5 linked regions of the Mus musculus genome follow. The protein of the gene in region 1 binds, or shares a complex with, the protein of each later gene. Links are inferred from orthologs where the notes say so. Each region holds a gene or a part of one and is shown in the gene's direction. Other genes may lie near its edges.

Evidence for each region. Proteins that work in one complex are often made in the same cells at the same time.
Region 2: Prpf3 (region 1) and Prpf6 share a complex: the UniProt entries of both Homo sapiens proteins name them as parts of the U4/U6-U5 tri-snRNP complex. The link is inferred for Mus musculus from reciprocal best matches to the Homo sapiens genes PRPF3 and PRPF6.
Region 3: Prpf3 (region 1) and Lsm3 share a complex: the UniProt entries of both Homo sapiens proteins name them as parts of the precatalytic spliceosome. The link is inferred for Mus musculus from reciprocal best matches to the Homo sapiens genes PRPF3 and LSM3.
Region 4: Prpf3 (region 1) and Lsm7 share a complex: the UniProt entries of both Homo sapiens proteins name them as parts of the precatalytic spliceosome. The link is inferred for Mus musculus from reciprocal best matches to the Homo sapiens genes PRPF3 and LSM7.
Region 5: Prpf3 (region 1) and Ppih share a complex: the UniProt entries of both Homo sapiens proteins name them as parts of the U4/U6-U5 tri-snRNP complex. The link is inferred for Mus musculus from reciprocal best matches to the Homo sapiens genes PRPF3 and PPIH.

The regions. Positions count from the first base shown.
Region 1 is NC_000069.6:95,835,386-95,838,885, reverse strand, and holds part of Prpf3 (U4/U6 small nuclear ribonucleoprotein Prp3), read left to right. Parts: intron 1-2,328; coding exon 2,329-2,472; intron 2,473-3,142; coding exon 3,143-3,242; intron 3,243-3,360; exon of another isoform or gene 3,361-3,418; coding exon 3,419-3,500. UniProt on the Homo sapiens protein: Plays a role in pre-mRNA splicing as component of the U4/U6-U5 tri-snRNP complex that is involved in spliceosome assembly, and as component of the precatalytic spliceosome (spliceosome B complex).
Region 2 is NC_000068.7:181,599,970-181,604,118, forward strand, and holds the start of Prpf6 (pre-mRNA-processing factor 6), read left to right. Parts: upstream 1-1,349; 5' UTR 1,350-1,491; coding exon 1,492-1,562; intron 1,563-4,149. UniProt on the Homo sapiens protein: Involved in pre-mRNA splicing as component of the U4/U6-U5 tri-snRNP complex, one of the building blocks of the spliceosome.
Region 3 is NC_000072.6:91,514,656-91,518,834, forward strand, and holds the start of Lsm3 (U6 snRNA-associated Sm-like protein LSm3), read left to right. Parts: upstream 1-1,379; 5' UTR 1,380-1,402; coding exon 1,403-1,423; intron 1,424-2,392; coding exon 2,393-2,503; intron 2,504-4,179. Other genes in the region: Xpc (DNA repair protein complementing XP-C cells homolog), read right to left, coding at 1,051-1,144. UniProt on the Homo sapiens protein: Plays a role in pre-mRNA splicing as component of the U4/U6-U5 tri-snRNP complex that is involved in spliceosome assembly, and as component of the precatalytic spliceosome (spliceosome B complex).
Region 4 is NC_000076.6:80,852,410-80,856,575, reverse strand, and holds Lsm7 (U6 snRNA-associated Sm-like protein LSm7), read left to right. Parts: upstream 1-1,366; 5' UTR 1,367-1,389; coding exon 1,390-1,395; intron 1,396-1,419; exon of another isoform or gene 1,420-1,515; coding exon of another isoform or gene 1,516-1,551; intron 1,552-1,864; coding exon of another isoform or gene 1,865-1,867; coding exon 1,868-1,958; intron 1,959-2,746; coding exon 2,747-2,818; intron 2,819-3,475; coding exon 3,476-3,618; 3' UTR 3,619-3,751; downstream 3,752-4,166. Other genes in the region: Sppl2b (signal peptide peptidase-like 2B), read right to left, coding at 1,188-1,235. UniProt on the Homo sapiens protein: Plays a role in pre-mRNA splicing as component of the U4/U6-U5 tri-snRNP complex that is involved in spliceosome assembly, and as component of the precatalytic spliceosome (spliceosome B complex).
Region 5 is NC_000070.6:119,317,724-119,321,760, reverse strand, and holds the start of Ppih (peptidyl-prolyl cis-trans isomerase H), read left to right. Parts: upstream 1-1,237; 5' UTR 1,238-1,286; coding exon 1,287-1,352; intron 1,353-1,527; coding exon 1,528-1,592; intron 1,593-1,907; coding exon 1,908-1,931; intron 1,932-2,196; coding exon 2,197-2,241; intron 2,242-3,174; coding exon 3,175-3,217; intron 3,218-4,037. UniProt on the Homo sapiens protein: PPIase that catalyzes the cis-trans isomerization of proline imidic peptide bonds in oligopeptides and may therefore assist protein folding. Participates in pre-mRNA splicing.

The DNA.
Region 1 (3,500 bases):
TTTCAAGAGATAGGGGTGGCTCATTGGGTAAAGCACTTGCTACACAGATGTGAGAGACAGACAATCCCTAGAACAAGCATCCTGCCTCAGTGTACAAAGTGGACAACAGTCAAGGAAGACTCCAATTAGCCTCTGGTCTACATACACACAGGTACATACATGTGGATATGCATGCGTGTCTGCACACCACACATACAAAACAAGTCAAGTTTAAAAGGCTTCCAGGGTTTCTGAAACTGGGAATATAACTCAGTTGGTAGAATGCTTGTCTAGCATGCATTAACTCCTAGGTTGGATCTCAGCCCTACATAATCCAAGTATGGTGCCATACACTTTTAATGTCAGCTCTCGAAAAGAGATGGGGGGATTGGGGATGGCTAAGTGGCTCAATTGGTAAGAGCACTGACTCCTCTCCTGAAGGCCTGAGTTCAAATCCCAGCATGGTGACTCACAACCACTCGTAATGAGATCTGATGCCCTCTTCTGGTGTGTCTGAAGTCAGCTACAGTGTACTTATGTATAATAATAAATAAATCTTGAGAGGGGGAGAGGGAGGTGTGTGGGGGGGTTGAAGGGAGACTGGGATATTAGAAGTGCAAGGTCATCCTCATCTACTGAATTCAAATACTGAATTCCAGCCAGCCTGAGATACATGAGGTCCTATTCAAAGAATCATTTTGGATTTTGTAGTATTGGCGATCTTAGGTTTTTAGATTAGGGACATTCAGCCTCTAATACAAATTAAAAATAGGAACTAGACTTAATCAGATTTTATGTAGCTGCCATAAGTATTTGTCAGAGGAATATGAGGATTTTTTTTTTTAAACAAACATGCTTTAAAAGTATAGGGATTTCTTTTTTTTAAGTTTTATTTTACTATCAAGCCCATTGGTGGAATTAGAGTGAGGTTCCAGCAAAGGTTTATTACTAAGAATCTGTATGTGTCTGGGGTGTGTGTGTGTGTGTGTGTGTGTGTGTGTGTGTGTGTGTGTGTCTACAGATGCCCTTGGTGATCAGAAGCTGGAGCTACAGGGGCTTGCTTGTCAGCCACCCAAGGTGGGTACTATAAAGTTGGATCCTCAGCAAGAGCAGTGTGTACTTTTTTAAATAATAAAGTTATTTTTTATTTATTTTTAAATTATTTATTTATTATATGTAAGTACACTGTAGCTGTCTTCAGACACTCCAGAAGAGGGAGTCAGATCTTATGGTTGTGAGCCACCATGTGGTTGCTGGGATTTGAACTCGGGAAGAGCAGTCGGTACTCTTAACCACTGAGCCATCTCTCCAGCCCCAATAAATTTATTTTTATGTAGGTGTTTATGGGGAGTTGGACAATGTGCGTGTATGTGGGTATATGCCAGAAACATACATATATAGGTGCTTTTGAAAGCCAGATCTCCTGGAACTAGAGTTTAGAGACTTTTTTTTTTGTTTTTTGTTTCTGTTTTTTGTTTTTTGAGACAGGGTTTCTCTGTATAGCCCTGGCTGTCCTGGAACTCACTCTGTAGACCAGGCTGGCCTCGAACTCAGAAATCTGCCTGCCTCTGCCTCCCGAGTGCTGGGATTAAAGGCGTGCGCCACCACGCCCGGCTAGCAGTAAGTATTCTTAACCACTGCACCATCTCCAGCCAGCTTCTTCCAGAGGGTTTCCTCCATTTCCTAGTACTGAAATTGAGCGCAGAGGTTGTACAGTAGTTAGCATAGCTGCATTGCCGACGCAAAATTTATTGTTATGTAGGTTAGGGAATTTCAAATTGTATTCCATAGAAGCAGCAAATTATAGAAAGTAGGACCCAAGTGGAGTTCTGGATTCTTTTACTTCCTCAGATTCTTAGCCAGTGCTACTGTTTGCATTTGCTGAAAGTGAACAACTTCTTAAAGAAAAAACATTTATGAGCCATAATACTTTCACTTAGTAAAAAAAATTATACTATCAGTCTCACCACTTAAAAATAACAAATAGCCAGGCGTGATGGTGCACGCCTTTAATCCCAGCACTCGGGAGGCAGAGGCAGGTGGATTTCTGAGTTTGAGGCCAGCCTGGTCTACAGAGTGAGTTCCAGGACAGCCAGGACTACACAGAGAAACCCTGTCTTGAAAAAACAAAACAAAACAAAACAAAACCAAATAGGTCAAGCACAGTTAGTGGATGCAGGTGATTTCAGCAGTTTTGAGGTGGAAGCAATAGGCCAGTCTGAGCTACAAAGCACGACTGTCTCTCGACCTCCTCCCTCAGATTTTAGTTGATGGTTTTTCTAAGTGATGCATACTCACCTAAATCCCTCTATAATTTATGCTTTGGTAACTCATTTTTCTTTTTAACAGTTGACAATGATACACCAGTTACCCTTGGGGTATATCTTACGAAGAAGGAGCAGAAGAAACTACGGAGGCAAACAAGAAGGGAAGCACAGAAAGAGCTACAAGAGAAAGTCAGGCTAGGCCTGACACCTCCTCCAGAGCCCAAAGGTATGTGCCTGCTGGCCTGCTACCATAGAGTGAGTGAGTCAGTCAGTCTGTCTTATAAAGGCACTTTAATGTCTTTGATGGTTTTTCTGAATCATTTACAGGATTTTTTTTAACCTGTGATGTTTTCTTCTGGCAGAACAACACATTCATTATAGAAGTCATTTAGAGCTTGTTTTTAATTATTTTTTGTTGTTGATGGTTGTTGTTTTTTGTTCCTGCTCTCAAGCACTGCTTATTTCAAGTCTGCTCAAAATTCACATTTTACAATAATTCCTACATTGAAAAATCTTACCTGCTTAACTCAGATTTTATAGTAGTTCAAACTATCTAAAAAATTCAGTATACTTATATCATAAAAAACATAAAACTTAATTTCTTATTTCTCATTTCTCATTCATTGGCATTAAAAATAAATAAACTCCACAAATATGCAACTATTGTTTTCTTGAGTATATAAATGTGTGTGTGTGCATATATATGTACACACACACACATTTATACATATAAACATACACACACACATATATGTGTGTGTTTGTATATATGTATGTGTATATACATATATAGAGGAGGCAATATACCTAGAAATAGTATATATAAATACTTTATCCTAGCTAGAGAAGTAATTTAAGAGATTAGGAGATTGATTGCTGCTTTCTTTCCATTGTAGTGAGAATCTCAAATTTAATGCGAGTATTAGGAACAGAAGCAGTTCAAGACCCTACAAAGGTAGAAGCCCATGTCAGAGCTCAGATGGCAAAGAGACAGAAGTAAGTGGGGTGCGGTAGGGTGGGATAGGGCAGAGCCCAGGACACTACCTTTCCAGACCCTCCTGGGGTTGGTATTGGAGGGAGGAGAGAGTCCTCTGTTGCTCTCTCTTTCCCTTAGCCCTGCCTCTGATCGGCAATGCCTTTCTCACTTGTGGATGTCCTTCCTGTCACGACAGAGCGCATGAAGAGGCCAACGCGGCCCGAAAACTTACAGCAGAACAGAGAAAGGTCAAGAAAATTAAAAAGCTTAAAGAAGAC
Region 2 (4,149 bases), on another chromosome or scaffold:
TTCAGTTATTTAGGACCCACATCAAGCCACATATCTGCCATGCATGAGTGGGGAAACCTAGGTTCAGCCGGTGTATGTTCCTTGGTTGGCGGTTCAGACTCTGAGAGCTCCAAGGGTCCAGGTTAGTTGACTCTGTTGGTCTTCCTGTGGAGTTCCTATCCCCTTCAGGACCCACAATCCTTTCCCCTGTTCTTCCATAAGAATCCTCAAGCTCAATCCACTGCTTGGCTGTTGGTGTCTGTATCTGTCTGAGTCAGCTACTAGCTCATTCTTTACTGGAGTATTTGCTGACCCTCATTTACGGACCACTTTGCTTTGAACTTCAGGCAATACTCCTATCTCTGTGAAGCCCCTCTGTCAGGCACAGTTCCCTGTGGGTCAGTGTTCACAGACTCAATCCTGCTCCTCCCTAAAAACCTGTCTAGGGAGCCAGGACTGCTTTAGTACCTCACTGAAAAGCATTGGCTGTAGAGGCCTGGTTGTCTGATCCAGCAGAGTCCAGGCTGCACAACTTGCAGTTTTTCCTGTCGGCCCTAGAGTCTGGTGCTCTCCCCATGTGTAGGAGGTGTAAGACAAGTGAGGCTGAGAGGCAGACTGTCTCAACGGGCTGAGACTGCTTTATTTAAACACTGAGGGCCCCTAACCTAAAAGGGCTGGGACATACACACAGAGTAGCTACCAGGAGTTTACAGCTATTTTTGAGGTTTAACTCGGAGCAGGGTTGTTTCCCAGGGGTGGCATACTGCTTCTGCAGGTAGACATCGCCGAGGCTAAGCAACTTTTTATAGCGTGGGGTTAATGCCCTGTACAGCCTAATTCACGGCCTGAAGCTATTATTACACAACAGGTGGGACTGGCATTGTGTTTCGGGAGGAGCTGCACACAGAAAATATCTGTGCAAAGTAGAGTGGTGTGAGTCCACTCAAGCCACTGGGCACACAATCACTCCCAAGCTTGTGACGCTGGCCCACACACTGTTGAGTGCACTATACATCTGTCCTCAGAAGGCGCGCGGGGGTTGGAGTGGTCCCGGATCTGATGGCGTAGTCTGGACCGTCGGTGGCCGCATACGGTTCAGTACAGTAAGGCTAGTCTGAAGTGGTTATGGTGGTTGAACTAAGTGGCTTCGCAGCCTTGCTTGCACCGGAACGCTCCTGAACAGGACTAATGCGTTCCGGCTCCGCGTCAAGGCTGGCATGAAAATCGAACCCACGTCCTTGTGGCGCGATACCGAATACCGTCACGCGCACGCGCGTCTTCCCGCAACAAACACTGCACACAGCGCTGGCCGGAAACACTTTGCAAACCCACATCTTTGACTTCCGCCCGAAGCTCTAGGTGGGCGGGGCTTTCCGTGACCCAGCTCTCTACTTCCGGTGCGCGGGTGACGTAGTGCCTGCATCTCTTACTGCTGCGACACCCGGAGGACTCTGAGTCTTCTGTCGTATACTTGCTCCCCTGCTTTTCTGTGTTTCGGTCAATAACACCGCCATGAACAAGAAGAAGAAGCCGTTCCTGGGCATGCCTGCGCCGCTGGGCTACGTACCCGGGCTGGGCAGGGGGTAAGGCAGTGGGGGGGAGTTTGCCCCGGGTAGGGTGCCTGGTGCCCTGGAACACAGCTCGCTCTTGGCCTATTTGAGAACGATTCTGGACTAGCAGCCACTAGAGCTAGAGAGACCGCGTCTCAAAATAAAACAAAAAACCAGGGGCTGGAGCTAGTGGCGCACGTCTCTAACCCCAGCATTGTTGTGGGGGGTGGGTGGGATGGGATGGGGCAGGGGCAGAGGCCTTCGTTTTTAAGTTAAGAGACCAGCCTCGTCTACATAGCGAATTACAAAACAGCCAGGGCTACACAGCGAGTTTCAGGACAGCTAGAATTACTTAACGAAACCTTGTCTCAAAAACAAGGTTAACTTTCACCGCCACAACTAGGTAATTTGGCATAATGCCTTTCCGACAAAGTGGGTATGCATGTATGTATGTATGTGTCGAAATATGTAGGTTCATGAGGCCTGACTACCACTCTAAGATATGACTGAGGGGTCTGAATCTCAGTGTCTTGGTGTCTGAAGTAATATCCGTAAGCGAGTTGGCTGTAAGAAGCAGTTGAGTCTTTGATGTATACAGTAAGAGTGTGCTATACCTTTCTTCCCTTAAACATTTTTCTCTAGGATGTGTGGCTGTAGGTCACCTGTTCAAATTCTCAGCCGTCTGGACAGAGATGGCAGTGCCACTAGTCATAAGGTGTTGGGTAGATGAATAGTATTTTTCCTACTTTTTATGCATTTGATTAGGGAAACATAAGTCTTCCTTGGTAATGGTAGGAGAAGGGAGGCATTCACAGCCGTTTTCAGAAGACTTGCAGTTCACAAGACAAGTTCGGTATTGGTATAAATAAGCACAAAAAGTAGGACAGAAGTCAAGAGATATTCAGCAGTGTGGCATTTTAGTTGGGTTTACGAAGTGTCAGATTTTGGGGGAGTAAAGGAAAAACGTGGAATTTGGTATAGGCACATAAAAAGGCAAGTAGGTGGCTGGTGAAGTGGCTCAGAGGGTAAAGGCTCTGTCAACCCTGAGTTTGAGTTCCCAGAATTCACGAGGTAGGAGGAGAGAACTGATTCTCTGAAATTGTCTTCTGACTTCTACAGATATGTCAGGTCACACGCACACACTAAATAAATAAATAGTTTAAAAGGGCAGCTGAAGATGTAGCTGAGCAGTACTGACAAAGCCCTGGGTTTGATTCCAATGTCTTGCCCAACCTCTTTAAAGAATATAAAAGGGATTAGAGAGATTCCTTAGCAGTTAAGAGCACTTACTGCTTTTGTAAAGGACTTGAGTTTGATTCCTATGACCCCTGTCAGGAGACTCACAGCTTGCTTATAACTCCAGTTTCAGGGGACCTGATACCCTCCACAGCCACCTGCATGCATGTGGTGTTGTTAAATACACAGCTTCACACACATACACATAAAAATAAATGCAAAAAGAACAAGGTCAAGCCCAGTGGGGCTAGATTAAAAAAAAAAAGAATCCAGAAGAGTGGGAATTGCAAGAAGAAGAGCTGGAAGTCACAGGGACTTTAACATTAGGCTAGAGTTACCTGTTGTTAGTTTTTTAAAAACAATATCTCAGATGCTTCATTTTACCAATGAAGAATCAGGAGTCAGATGTTGGGGTGAAAGCCTGCTAGCTCAGAGAGCCAGAAAAAGTACTCAGCTGACCTTCCTCAGCCAGTACCGAGAAGAAATCCCCCCTCTCTTTGCCTTCTCAAAAAAACCTTTCAAACTGAATGTCCCTCCCTTCTACTTCCTGTGCATCTCTCTATCTGTCCTCCTGGCTCTCTCTTACTCTGTTTTTTTGTTTTTGTTTTTTTCTCAATAATCCTAGATTCACTTCCTGTCAATTGGTTGCTTGCTCTGCTTCTTGACCAATGGTTGACTTTATTTAATCCTGTTTACACTATTCAAGCAGAAAGCTCTTGGATTAAAGCGTGTGCTAAGACTGAGCCACAACACAACGAGAAACAGGTTTTTCCAGTTAATAGCATAATTCAGTTCATAGTGTGACAAATATCCTGCAACATTTACCCCTTTTTGTCTAAATGAAAAGGAAAGGTTTTAACTGTAATACAGCAAAACTATTGACAATAATGAAGCTGTTTCTACCAAGCTTTCCACAGCTTGTTTGTATTTAGCAGTCTTAGGATTAAGTATTTTGAGTTCAAAGTTCTGTAAAATGTTTGTTTCAGTCTTATATGAACTGAGCAATTTGAATGTCCTCAGCAATTTTGTAGTCCAGAGCTATTTTTGAGTGGTGTTTGTCAGCTTAGTGGTAATCCTGGCTTGGTAACCCAAAGGAATCCACTGTTTGCACAGAACTTGGTGGTAGAAGAGGCATGGAACAGTTTTGCTCAGTGGTTAGCATTACCATAATCCAGGTGGATTCATTGTTGCAGGGCCCATCTTTTTGGAGACCTCAAAAGTTATTGTTTGGAACGGTCACAGTTCATTGTAGCAAACTTAAATGTTTAAAATGCTATATTCAGCAGATCTTTGAAAGGTTTGAGGACCACAATTTATCAGATACACAAACTTCGTTCCTGGTTATCTGCTTCAGACTCAAACCTGAAAACACATACAGGAAGCT
Region 3 (4,179 bases), on another chromosome or scaffold:
GACTTCTAGACCAGCCAGCTGTTTAAATAAACAGGAAAAAAAAAAATCAAAATAAGAATATCTGAAACGGAAAGATCCAGATTTCTAGGCCAGCCTGCTGTTTAAAATAAACAGGAAAAAATCAAAACAAGAATATTTGGAAAGGAGACAGAATTGTGACAGCCTCTAAATCCTGTAGGAAACCAGCTAAGTGAGGAAGATGCTATACTTGCAGAGCGCAAGTCTGAGGGGGTTTTAGATAAGAAGACAGAGGCATGAGGTTTTGTTGTTCTACATCCGTTTGGCTGCTAGATGATGACCTGAGGCAGACAGATGAGAGGAAGCCAGAAAAGAAGCAACGTGAAGTTCACTTACTCAATTGTGGACAGGATCTCCAGCTATAAAATTAAAGAGAATTAGGTACAGATTTCATTGGTTCCGAAGCTGACTGGACTTGCTGCCGAACTGGCAGTTAAGAAAAGGTGTGATTTATTGAAATGGAACAACTGGAGGATGGATTTGTTTAAGAGGGAAGATGGAAGTTTTGCTTTGTTCAAGATCTAGGTAAGAAGCGCATTCTAGCCAGGGCGCAGTGGCAGACACGGGTTAATCCTAGCTCTAGGGAGGCAGAGACAGGTGGATCTCTTGAGTTTGAGGCCAACCCGGTCTACAAAGTAAGATCCAGAACAGCCAGGGCTACACAGAGAAACCTTGTCCGGAAAAACAAAGCAACAACAACAAAGCACATCCTAAACTCTGGAGTTACACTGGATGGCAGTCGGGAATTTGGAGAGAGATCTCGCACGCACTAGAGTCTCCCTCCGTCTTGGTTTTGGGGTCTCCTTGAGACACCTGGTAACTGCGAAGCTTTCTGCTGCTCAGCCTTCAACACTTGCTTAGAGGCTGAACTTGGCTCTAATGGTTAACAGAGGGGTTTAAGGCTGATAGCAGAGGCCCTCGGGGACGCCGCGCACCCGGCCGTGGAGACCTTGCCACAGGCGCAGATCCGCTCCGCCGCCCGCACCAGCCTCAGCCACCACTGCCTGGCATGTTGCAGACTCGGCCTCTCACCCGCAACGCTCTCCTCGTGCCGGGCTACTTTGTTGTCCTCGGTTTTCTGGCCCCGCTTCCGCCGCCTTCCGTCTGCGGTGCGCTTTGGGGCCATGCTAGCCAGAGGCGTTCCTCGGGACTACCGCGCAGGACGCCGCAGGTCTCCGCGTGCCCGCCCCGCCCGGAGGCGGGCCACGCCTGGCCGCGCCCCCAGCCCAGGGTAGGACCACGCCCTCGAAGGAAGCCCCGCCCCCATGCAAACTACGAGGGCGCGAAGGGACAAAAATAATATAGTTCGCCTTCAGTGCGTGGCGGCCTAAGGTTTCTGAGTTCCTGTTCCCGCGAGAGGTGGAAAGGGCGCAGCGTTTGAAACATGGCGGACGACGTAGATCAGGTAAGTTTGACCTGAGGCGTTCGAAGAGGAAATGCTTTCGCTTCTCGCTTTTTCCACGCTTCCCGTGGGATGGCCCTTTTCTTTTTTTCCGAGTCACCACGGCCTTCCGTAGCCGGGCCTGCTCCTGAAACCTCCGTAGGCCCAGAGTTTCTCAACCCGCCCGTCTACCCATCGCGCTCGTCGTCGCCCTTTCTCTGTAGAATGAATGCAGGCGGCTGGAGATGCCCATCTCTGGGAGCTAGCTGTCGGGATTCCGACAGAAAGCGGGAGGTCGTAGCAGGACACCAGTTTAGCAATCCGAGTGAACACGGGGGGCACAGGCAGTGGTTCCCTTGGAGTGAATTACGAGGGGAGGTCAGAGGAAAGGTGCAGTTCTAGGAGATGGAGAAACTGCTAGAGATGGAGTATGAAGAAAACAAGCAAAGATCTGGTACACAGGCCAACAGAAGGGCCTACGGGCCTCTGCACCTACCCTTCCCTATTTCTTAGGTAGCTGGTGTACCTTGGCCACCAAAATGTCTTTCACACCCTCACATGCACACACAGCCCCTGCACACACACACACACACACACACACACACACACACACACACGTACGTACGTGCTACCCTACTGTGTTTCTCTCCAGAGCATGTTGTTTTAAATATGTATAGCCCCTGCACACACACACACACACACACACACACACACGTATGTACGTACGTACGTGCTACCCTACTGTGTTTCTCTCCAGAGCATGTTGTTTTAAATATGTATTTATTTAAAGTGTTTCTTCCACAACTAGAGTGTAAGTTCCTTAATGGGGATTTATTGGGGCTGGAGAGGTGGCTTGGCAGATAAGAGCGCTTGCTGATCTTGGAGACAACCCTGGTTGTGTACTAGCACCCACATGCTGCTCTCTCAGCTGACCAGTGATTGAAACACCACCCGGCCTCTGTATCCTATGAGTAAGCCTTTGCCTTTCCTCAGCAACAGACCACCAATACCGTAGAGGAGCCCCTGGATCTGATCAGGCTCAGCCTGGATGAGCGAATTTATGTGAAAATGAGAAATGACCGAGAGCTTCGAGGCAGACTACACGTAAGTCTGTTAAAACATCTCAGAGCCAGAGGCTGCATCCTACCTCCTTACAAATTAGAACTGCAGTGTAAACTTACTTTTTTGAATTTCTTTTGGGAATTGGAAAATCCTTCTATTCACTTTTAAAATATGTTTTCCTTAACCAGAATGGTTTTTTAGAGAGGGGTGGGACTCCGGTGAGACAGAACAAGGCATCTGATCCCCTGGAGCTAGAGTTACAGACTGTTGTGAGCTGCCTGATACGCTCAGGTCCTGTTCAGGAATCCAGTGCTCTTAGCTTGAGCATCTCTCCAACCATAGAGAACACTTTCGTTTCCTTCAGTTTTGTCTTCTGCTTATTTATGAATAAACTTGTTTGTTCTCTTGGGTTTAGACAAGGTCATACTAGAAAACCTGGCTAGCTTCAAACTCCAGCTCCCTCTGCCTCTCTCCTGAGAGCTGGGATTACAGACATGCTCTTCATTCTTGGCATTGTCCTGGATTTTTTAAAGTTATTGGATAGGGTATTTTAGCTTTTGACATATAAAGCTCTGTTTTGTCATGAAAAGAATTAAATAGCAGGCTAGAGATAGTTTGCCTAGCATGCGGCAAAGCCCCTACCCTAGCACTACCCAAAAAAAAAAAAACAAAAACAAAAACAACTTCATAGAAATGGGTAAAATTAAAGGCGAAGTTCCATTTTTCTCTATGTCTGACCACTGTTCAAAGTTGGCTGCATAGTCGTCTGCATGTGTATATGCCACCTGTGTCTGAAGGGGAGCCTAGTGAGGAACGGAGGCATGTGCCATGGTTCCAGTACTTAGAGGACCAAGGCAGGACGATCATATATTTGAGGCCAGTCTGGCCTACATAGTGAAACCTTGTCTCATATGTACACACTTTTTTCACATGTTTTTTGTGTGGAATAATTACACAGCTGACACAACGCCACAGGATACAGGATTCTGTGTCAGACTTCAGTCTCCCCCCCCCCCCCCAGCTATAAAGCTGCAATGGGTACTTTCACAGATATTGCTTGTGCACATTTATATGTCTGAGGAATTGGTCCCATCATTGTGTACTTAAGGTTTTGTCTCCTCTTGTTACTTCCCTCAGGGCTGTTTGTTTACAACAGGAATTGAAATAAGTCTTTTAGTTCAGGCTTAGAAATTAGAAACAACCCTCTACTGACAGTGACAGAGCCACTGTAGGGGACCAGGCCATCCCACTTCAGTCTCAGTCTTAGAAATTCATGTTCTTTCATGAAACCCAAGGATAAAGAATTGATCTACAAGCTGGCCTTGTGGGAACAGCAGTGTCAGTTTGGTGAGAAATGTGGGATGATGCTAAATTGCATGGCACTCTGGTGCACGGAATGATCCCCAGGCCAGACTGTGGCCTCTAACTTGGAGTTGTCTGCAGCTCTTACCTCTGCAGTAACGGCCCAGCTTTCTGTTTCCTCCCTGCTCTCCAGATGAGTTGCTCATTTGTGTAGCTGCCAAGCAGTTCCTTCCCAGTGTGGCTGTTAGGCTATTTTTAATCTTGATATGAGCAGGCAAAAGCGCTTAGCACTTTGTTAGAAGAACATGCAGTGGGTTCTGAACAAGCCCCAGGAGGTTTGCTGTTTAGTAAAAGGAATGAACTTTGGAGATTGCACTGAACACTGCGGTTGAAATCCTTCCTGATTGAGCCCACAG
Region 4 (4,166 bases), on another chromosome or scaffold:
AAAGAGGGCAGTTTCCAGAGGACAGTGGCCTGCTAAATATGATGTAGAGCCCTGGCCCACTGGCCAGATGCAGCAAGCCCTGACACACTTTCAAAAGCTCATGCTCAGCCAAGAACAGGATGTGGGGATAAAAGCAGCCAAAGAGAGATGTTGGCCACATGGTGGAGAGCCCAGGAACCACATGTGTGAGGAATGCCTTAAAGCTTAGCCAATCAAGGAGGCACATGCCAGCCAGTTGTGGCAGCACCGGGGAGGCTGAGGCAGAGCTGCAAGCCCACCGCCAGCCTGGGCCATACAGGGAGACCCTGTCACAAAAGTCTGTAATCTCAAAAAGGAAAAGAAAAAGTATTTTTAAAAATGACCTGGGCTCTTGTTTCACAAGACAAGAGCGTACACAGTAGCAGGACGCACTGGCCACCCTTCAAACCGGCCCAAGACCCAAGGATGCAACACTCCAGGATCTGGGACTGAAGGCTGGAGCCACAAAGACAAAACAAGAAAGGACTCTACTAAGCCAGGAGTTGCGATGCGGCGCGTGAGATAACTAGGCCGGTGTTTTGCTTTGAGTTCCAGGTTAGCCAAGCCTCACCGGGTGCACAGGGACAGCCAGGGCAACATGGGAAGTCAGAGCCCAGCCTGGACTGCAGAGCGAGCTGGAGGCCAGCCTGAGCTGCGGAGCAAGTTGGAGGGCAGCCTGGACTGCAGAGTGAGTGTGAAGCCAACATGGGTTACATAGTGAGTTCAAGGCTAGCCTGGACTACGCCGAGTTCGAGACCAGCATGCCACCTCTCTCAGAAAGCAAAGCACACCAGAAGCCAGCCTCCTGCCAGGGCGCACCCCGCGCACACCTGAGGCGTCCCAGCAGAAGCTCGTCCCCAGCGTTCTGCACCGACCCTGAGGTGGGGACCCCCTTCCGCCCAAGGTCACAGAACAGAAGCCGGGGTGCCGGGCTGCATGCACCTCGGGGGCCGCGCTGGACGCCCCGGGGATGGAGCGCGGGAACTCGCCCCATTCTGCAAAAGGGGAAACTGAGGCTGGCAGGAACAGCGGCGGCGGCGGTTGGGGCCCCGGGGCGCAGGGCGGGCTAAGCCCCGCCAGAAGTCTGCGGTGGCAATGAGCGAGTGGACCGCAAGGTCAAGGGCACGGTCAGGAGTTGGGGGGCCGGGCCGATCGGCCGTGGCGCTCACCTGGGCCGCGAGTAGCAGCAAAGCTGCGGCCAGCCGCGCCGCGGCCATGTCCGCCGGTCCCCCCGCAGCTCTAGGCGGAAGGTTTCCTGGCAACGCCTTCGGGACGCCGCAACGTGCTTGCGCCGAGGCTGCGCGTGCGCAAAGGCCTCCGCGTTAGAAAAGGGCGGGGCGGCGCCTGCGCAGAGCGACGTGAGGCGACAAGATGGCGGTGAGCATGTCTAGATCGTGGAAAGCAGGGCCGCGGGATCGAGGGTCTGTGGAAGCGAGAGCAGAAAGACTGAAAGGAGAGTGACGGACGCCCTAGAGTAGGGAGACAGGGTGCTGAAGGATGGGAGCCACGTGGGACTGCAGACGGAAGCCATGGGTACAGACCAGGTGACATGAAAAACAGACGACCGACATGAGGATGCAGACGCGGAACGTGGGGGTTGCAGACCAGGCAGACAGGGGTGCGTACAGGAAACAGTGCAGATGGGGTATCCAGGGATGCAGATGAGGACGTGGGCATGCAGACAGAAATGCAGACTCGGGCATAGCATTCAATTAGGCAGACACTGGAGGTGAGGATGCACCCAGGGTTCTGGGAGCCTGAGTTGGAAAGGAGTCCCTGGGTGCCATGCCCAGGCTACAGGGATATGGGGAGGCTGGACCTCTCTCCTCAGCGCCCCACCTCCCAGCAGGACAAAGAGAAAAAGAAGAAAGAAAGCATCTTGGACCTCTCCAAGTACATCGATAAGACCATTCGGGTGAAGTTCCAGGGTGGCCGGGAAGGTGAGTGCCTACCGCAGGGCTCCCTGACACAGAGCTTGGCTGAGGTCACAGCAAGCAAGGGAAGCCACCTAGTACAGGCGTTCCAATAATGGCTTGGGCTATTGTGTACCATTGAAAGGTATGCCCCTATTGTGGGTGGGGAAACAGAGCCCCAGGAAAGGAGTCAAGTGAGATTAGCACCCAGACCAGTATGGATGGATCCTGAAGGAAGGGGCCAGGACCCACGAGGAGGTGGAAGGAGGTGATAGGAAGCCCTGTTCTTAAGCACCTGGACACAGCAGGAACCTGGAAGGTTTCCCAATGAAAGGATTGAAAGTTCCAGGCCAGTTTAAGTTATGTAGCAAGATCTGTCTCCAAGAATCAACCATGGGTGGGGCTGTATGTCTGTGGGTAGATTGCTGGTTTAGCATGCATAAAGCCCTGAGTTCTATTCCCAACCCCGTGTAAACCTGGCGTGGTTGTATAAGCCTGGCATTCCAACACTAGGGGTAAGACAGGAGGATCAGGCTGCCTAGTGAGTCTGAGACCAGCTTGGGCACATGAGACCCTGGGGGGGGGGGGGGAGACTGTTTCAGATTGCATGGATGGGTGACAATAAAGTTTTATGGACACTATATAGCACCTTCCATACTGGAAAGAAGAGGGTTGGAGTCACAGTGACTAGGCCACCACACTTACTTACTCATGAGTTCTGTGGTGGCAACTGTTCCTGAGCTGCCATACCAGGTTCTATATGTGTTACGGGGTGGACTGACATTCTTCTCCATGTCTCGCCCGTGTTCCTCAAGCCAGCGGTATCCTGAAGGGCTTTGACCCACTGCTCAACCTGGTGCTGGATGGGACCATGGAGTACATGAGAGGTGAGCCGGCCGAGGTTGTTGTAGGACGGTGCTGGGGACCTGTGGGGTCAGATTACAGCAGGTGGTGACTTAGGGTGCAGTGTTGGAACACCAGAGGACTGGTGTGCTTGCCGGGAGGGCCTCAGGCTTGAGACTTCCAGCTCACTCTCCTCAGGTAGCTGGCTTTATCCTCAGCCCTCAGGACAGCAGGAATGGTGGCCGCTGTCCTCGGCCAGGAATGTCTACCTGCATCAGAGACTCCAAGGCTCACTGGATCTCAGCTCTGTATAAGCAGGTCCACCCTGTAGTGCCCTGAGCAGACCCCTGCCCCCCACACCAGGTTTCCTGTCTCCAGCCCTCGTGACAGTTATGTCTGACTGCTTACCAGCTCCTCCTGTTGCCCACCCTCTCCAGTGCATCTGCTGCTCAGTAGATGCCCTTGGTGTTTACGGGGTCAGCATGGGCTCTAGCGTTCTTGAAGTTGGAGATGTCTGGCTCCTCCCTCAGCCACCTTCGTGGTTCTGTGGTTTAGACTCTGCTGGTCAGGTGTTTTGAGAGCATCTGGATCTGTCAGTCCCCAGAAGCTGTGAGTGAGAACTCTCAGGCCCCTGAGGTCCCGGCTGTGGCATGCCTATGGATAGATATGCACCTCAGTCCTCTTGCCTCTCATCCTACCAGACCCTGATGACCAGTACAAGCTGACGGAGGACACTCGGCAGCTGGGGCTTGTCGTATGTCGTGGCACCTCGGTGGTGCTCATCTGCCCACAGGACGGCATGGAGGCCATCCCCAACCCCTTCGTGCAGCAGCAGGACACTTAGCAGCAAAGGAGAGCGGTCCAGCCCCAGGGATCTTCCTTCTATGGGGTGAACTTCTGTGTGATGTTTTGGTCTTTTGTTCTTGTTTTGTTTTGTTTTGTTTTTTAATAAAATTGCCCATGTGAGCATCTCCCTCCCTTCCTGCTCTGTAACTTTGATCTTTGGAGAAGCCAGAGCCATGGAGACACCTTGATCAGACACCGTGGTCCAGGGCAGAGCACAGCACAGCCAGGGACTAGCACAGGGATGGGAGAAACCTGGACGCCTGGTCCCGCAGCCCAGCCGGCTTCACCTGGTGGGCTGTGGCAAGAAGACCACACCTAGAAACACCAGAACCTGGTCTTCCTCCATATGGCATCCCCTTAGCACTGGCCCCTGCCTGTTCTCTCTGCCCAGGGGAACCAGGAGGGCCTGAGAAAAGGATTGGCTAGCAGGGAGCCTGGGCCCTGAGGTTCCTCAGGCTGGGGTGCCTCCCTAAAGCGTCTGCCACAAGAGAAGCAGCCCAGGCAGGGGCTGGGGCGGGGCCAGGGCGGGACTCTGTGCTCCTGTGG
Region 5 (4,037 bases), on another chromosome or scaffold:
TGTAACAACCAGGGCTGGAGAGATGGCTCAGTGGGTAAGAGCACTGACTGCTCTTCCGAAGGTCCTGAGATCAAATCCCAGCAACCACGCCCTCTTCTGGGGTGTCTGAAGACAAGTATAGTGTACTTACATATAAGTATCTTTGGGCCGGAGCAAGCATGAGAGAAGGAAAAGAGGGGGGGGGGGTAGCAACTGAATGCCCTCCAAAACAGAGGCAGAAGGGTACTTGGTAAAAGTGGTATAAGAGAAGCCAGCCTTTACTTCCTGGTCTTTGCTACCAGCAGTGGCAAACAGCATTTTAAATAGGCAAAGCCCCATACGATTTACTAGCCTAGAGACCCATCCCATGGGCAAACAACAATCCCTGAGACTGTTGTGCTTGCAGACAGGAACCTCGCATGGCTGTCCTGAGAGACTCCACCCAGGAGCTGACTCAGGGATGCAGAGACCACAGCCAAACATCCGATGGAGCTTGAGGACTCCTGAGGGCCTCCGAGGGGATTGGAACTCCACAGGAAAACCAAGAGTCAACTATGACCCTTGGGGCTCTCAGAGACTGAACCACCAACCAAAGAGCATAGACAGGCGGGACCTAGCCCCCTCCCACACACACACGGTCTTTCATGTGGGTCCCGAACAACTGGAGTAGGGGCTATCCCAAAAGCTGTTGCCCTGCTGTGGAATTCGTTTCTTCTGCTTGTCTGGACTCAGTGGGAGAGGATGAGGCCAGCCCTGCAGAGACTTGATGTGCTAAGGTGGAGGGAAAACCAGAGGGGGTCTCTACCCTCTCAGAGGAGAAGAGAAGGAGGGGGTGGGGAAACCGGGAGAGGCGGCAGCACTGGGGATGTAAATGTGAATTAAAAAATAAAAAATTTTACAATCATAAGAAAATAAATAAAATTACATTTCCAGCACCCGACTGAGCCAGGCTACAGTAACAAACCATTTTAAAATATGGAAGGTGACTCAGGGATCCTCGGCTCATGAGCTGTGACAGGGGACACCAAGTGTGACTGCTCAGGACATGCTGTCTGCAGAAGATTCATTTCTATTGCACTAATACAGTCATGCAAGTGGGGAGCCCACAGACTTTGACAAAGATGCCTGCGTTTCCTCCCCTCAGCTCCGACCAGCTCAGCCAAACAGTACCATTCCCAACAACCTCAGCGCGCGCCACACTTCCGGGGCGGGGCGCAATCGCGGTCCGTTTCCACTGCGTCTGCGCTCCGGATGAAGTTCGCGGGACCTGCCACCGGAAGCCGGGTTTCTACTTCCGGGTCAAAGCCATGGCGGTGGCAAATTCAAGTCCAGTCAATCCAGTGGTCTTCTTCGATGTCAGCATTGGCGGCCAGGTGAGGTGCGGGCGACCTAGCGGCCCGTGCGGGCTGGTTGGCCTCGGGTAAGGGAGGCAGCCCCTTATAGCCCTCCCGAGACCGGCTGGGCCAGGCGGCGGAGGGAGGTGGGAGCTTTCGAGCTTCGTGGACAGCGGTCGTGAGCTGAGTGTTGCGTCTCCCGTTTCTTCTGCAGGAAGTTGGTCGCATGAAAATCGAGCTCTTTGCAGACGTGGTGCCTAAGACGGCAGAGAACTTTAGGTAAGGATATGCTCCAAGTGAACCAGAGCTGAGCCCGAAGCCGGCCTCCAGTCGGTCTTTGCCATGTCTGCCTCTGTCCATCTATTCATTGCCTTGCAGCTCTGTGGTCTGGGTATTTCACTGGCCAAACAGCTACCGGCTGTGACTGATCCCATATCAACTTCTATCACTAGTCTACCTGCCCTGACATCCGCCCGATCAGTTAGTTGGCGGACATACTGGCCCCAGTGTTTGAACTCTCCTCTCCAGAGATTAGAGGTGCTTCAAGCAGTGATCGTACGAAGGCTAAATCGTTTGCTCTCTCTTTCCCTTTAGGCAATTCTGCACCGGAGAGTTCAGGTCAGTCTCAGATGTGTTTGATTTCTCTGCCTACTCCTGAAGGGGTGCCCTGGATGTTTGGTGAGGGTATTGGAGAACCATGAACAGGTCTTAAGTAATGGAAGATGATATGCAGAGAGAGGGTGACACCTTGAATGGGTTCTTTCTCTCTCTTTTTCCCCCTCCAGATCTTAGTGAGAGCCCTTTTAGCCTCTGGTGTAGCCTAAATGGGAAAGGCCCACCATTGTGTTTCCCCATTCCAAGTCTCTTCCTTCTTTGTTTACAGAAAAGATGGCGTTCCGATAGGATACAAAGGAAGCACCTTCCACAGGTAAGGGAGGTTTTTGGAAAACTGGAAATGCAGTCATTGCTTGGTATCTGTACAGGCAGTCCTGCACACCTGAGTTCAAACTCTGTGAGGCTTACGGCTGTTGTTTTAAATGGCATGTTCGCGGCTGAGGCTGTAGCTCGGTGGTAGAGAATTGGCCCAGCATTCATAAGGCCCTGGATTTGGTACTGAACACCATGAAGCCTATGCACAGCGCCTTAAGTCATCCCTGACTTGGTGGAATGCTGTATTGCAGAAACGATGCCAAGGAAAGCATGCTGTACCCTTTCAGTACCTGTTCAGTACAGGTGCGTGGCCACGTGCTCCCAGAGGTCTAAGCTCAGATCCTTAGGCTGCCACAGCAAGCACTTCACCCACTGACCCATCTCCCTGGCGCCAGTCAGGACTTCAGCAGAGGCTTTGCTAGTTACCGTTGCTAGGCAGTCATCTGTAGGAGCCTGGCTTTCATGATATATTTACTTATTTTTTGTTAGAGTTTGACAGAAGTTGCTCTATTCTAATCCTGAAAATGTCCATGTCTCCCACATAAGGGCTTTAAAGCTACAGTCTGTAACCCTCCCTAGCATTCTTGTGAAGTAGTATGTGTTTTCCGAGTTCTTCAAGGAAGGCTAAGCAAAGCGAAGGGCCATAGCTGGTGTACTAGCTAACACCATCAAGTCTCTGTGTGTGCAGTAGTCCATTCACCTAGATTTGCTGTTGTTCTTTTCCCCCAAATTGCAATAAGCCCTGGACATGATTTTTTCCTTTGGTGACTGTTGGTGATTCTAGCCTGGTTTCAGCCCCTTCCTGATGTTCAGGTGCGAACTCACGCATCTAAGATCAACTGAGTTAAGACTGTACTTGCTCGCCCTTTTCTAAGCTTCAGTGATTAATCCACTGAATCTTTTCTCAGGATTTTTTTTTTAACTGTTTCAGGGTCATAAAGGATTTCATGATTCAGGGTGGAGATTTTGTTAATGTAAGTACTGCTTCTTTTCTTTGTTATTTTTTTCTGGCAGGGCCCTAGTCTTGAGACTTAAGAGCAATAGCTAAGTTAAGTGGAGAGGGCATGGGATGTACTGTAGAGTTGCTGGCTACCACTGACTGTGTCCTTAGAACACATAACAATACTCTACTGAACCATAAACTTCCACTTTCCAAACCCTAGCTGTTTGTAACTAGAAACTGGGCTTTGCTGGCATACCTATAGGTGATCTGAGACGGTCCACATTCATTGTTCACAGAAAACTTTGAAATTGACTGCAATTTTTCCCTCAAAAGGAAGGGAGCTGACTGCTTTTGTCTCCCATTTTTCCTTCCACATCTGCACATCTTCTGTCACTGTCTAAAAACTCTAGTTTTTTGTTGGATTGCTCTGGGGGGGGTTAGGGGCCGGTCTTTCTTTCTCTTTTCCTTTTGAAAGCTAAGGTATTAATCACAAGCTGGTTAGCAAGCAAGGGATCAGATCAGGAGAGACAGGAAGTTTAAAGGGTGTTCGCTTGCTTGCTGAGGTAGCCCAGCAGATCCATTCTTCACAAAAAGACCATGACTGTTGGTGTCTCCATCCTTCCTTGGAGTGTGTCCAATAAGCTAGAATATCTCTTTCTTAAACCAGCTCTTTCCTTACCCATCCACCTCTGTGCATGCTGTCTCCTTGCTGTTAGCATTGTTTATGTGGGTGTGTTACTAAGTCCTTTTGTCTGAGAGATGGTCTTACTCCATCAGTTGTAAATTTAGTTAGATTTTTGTGAGTCTTTAGAGGTCTTCCTCCTACACAGGGTTGCAATGGCAGGCTTTAG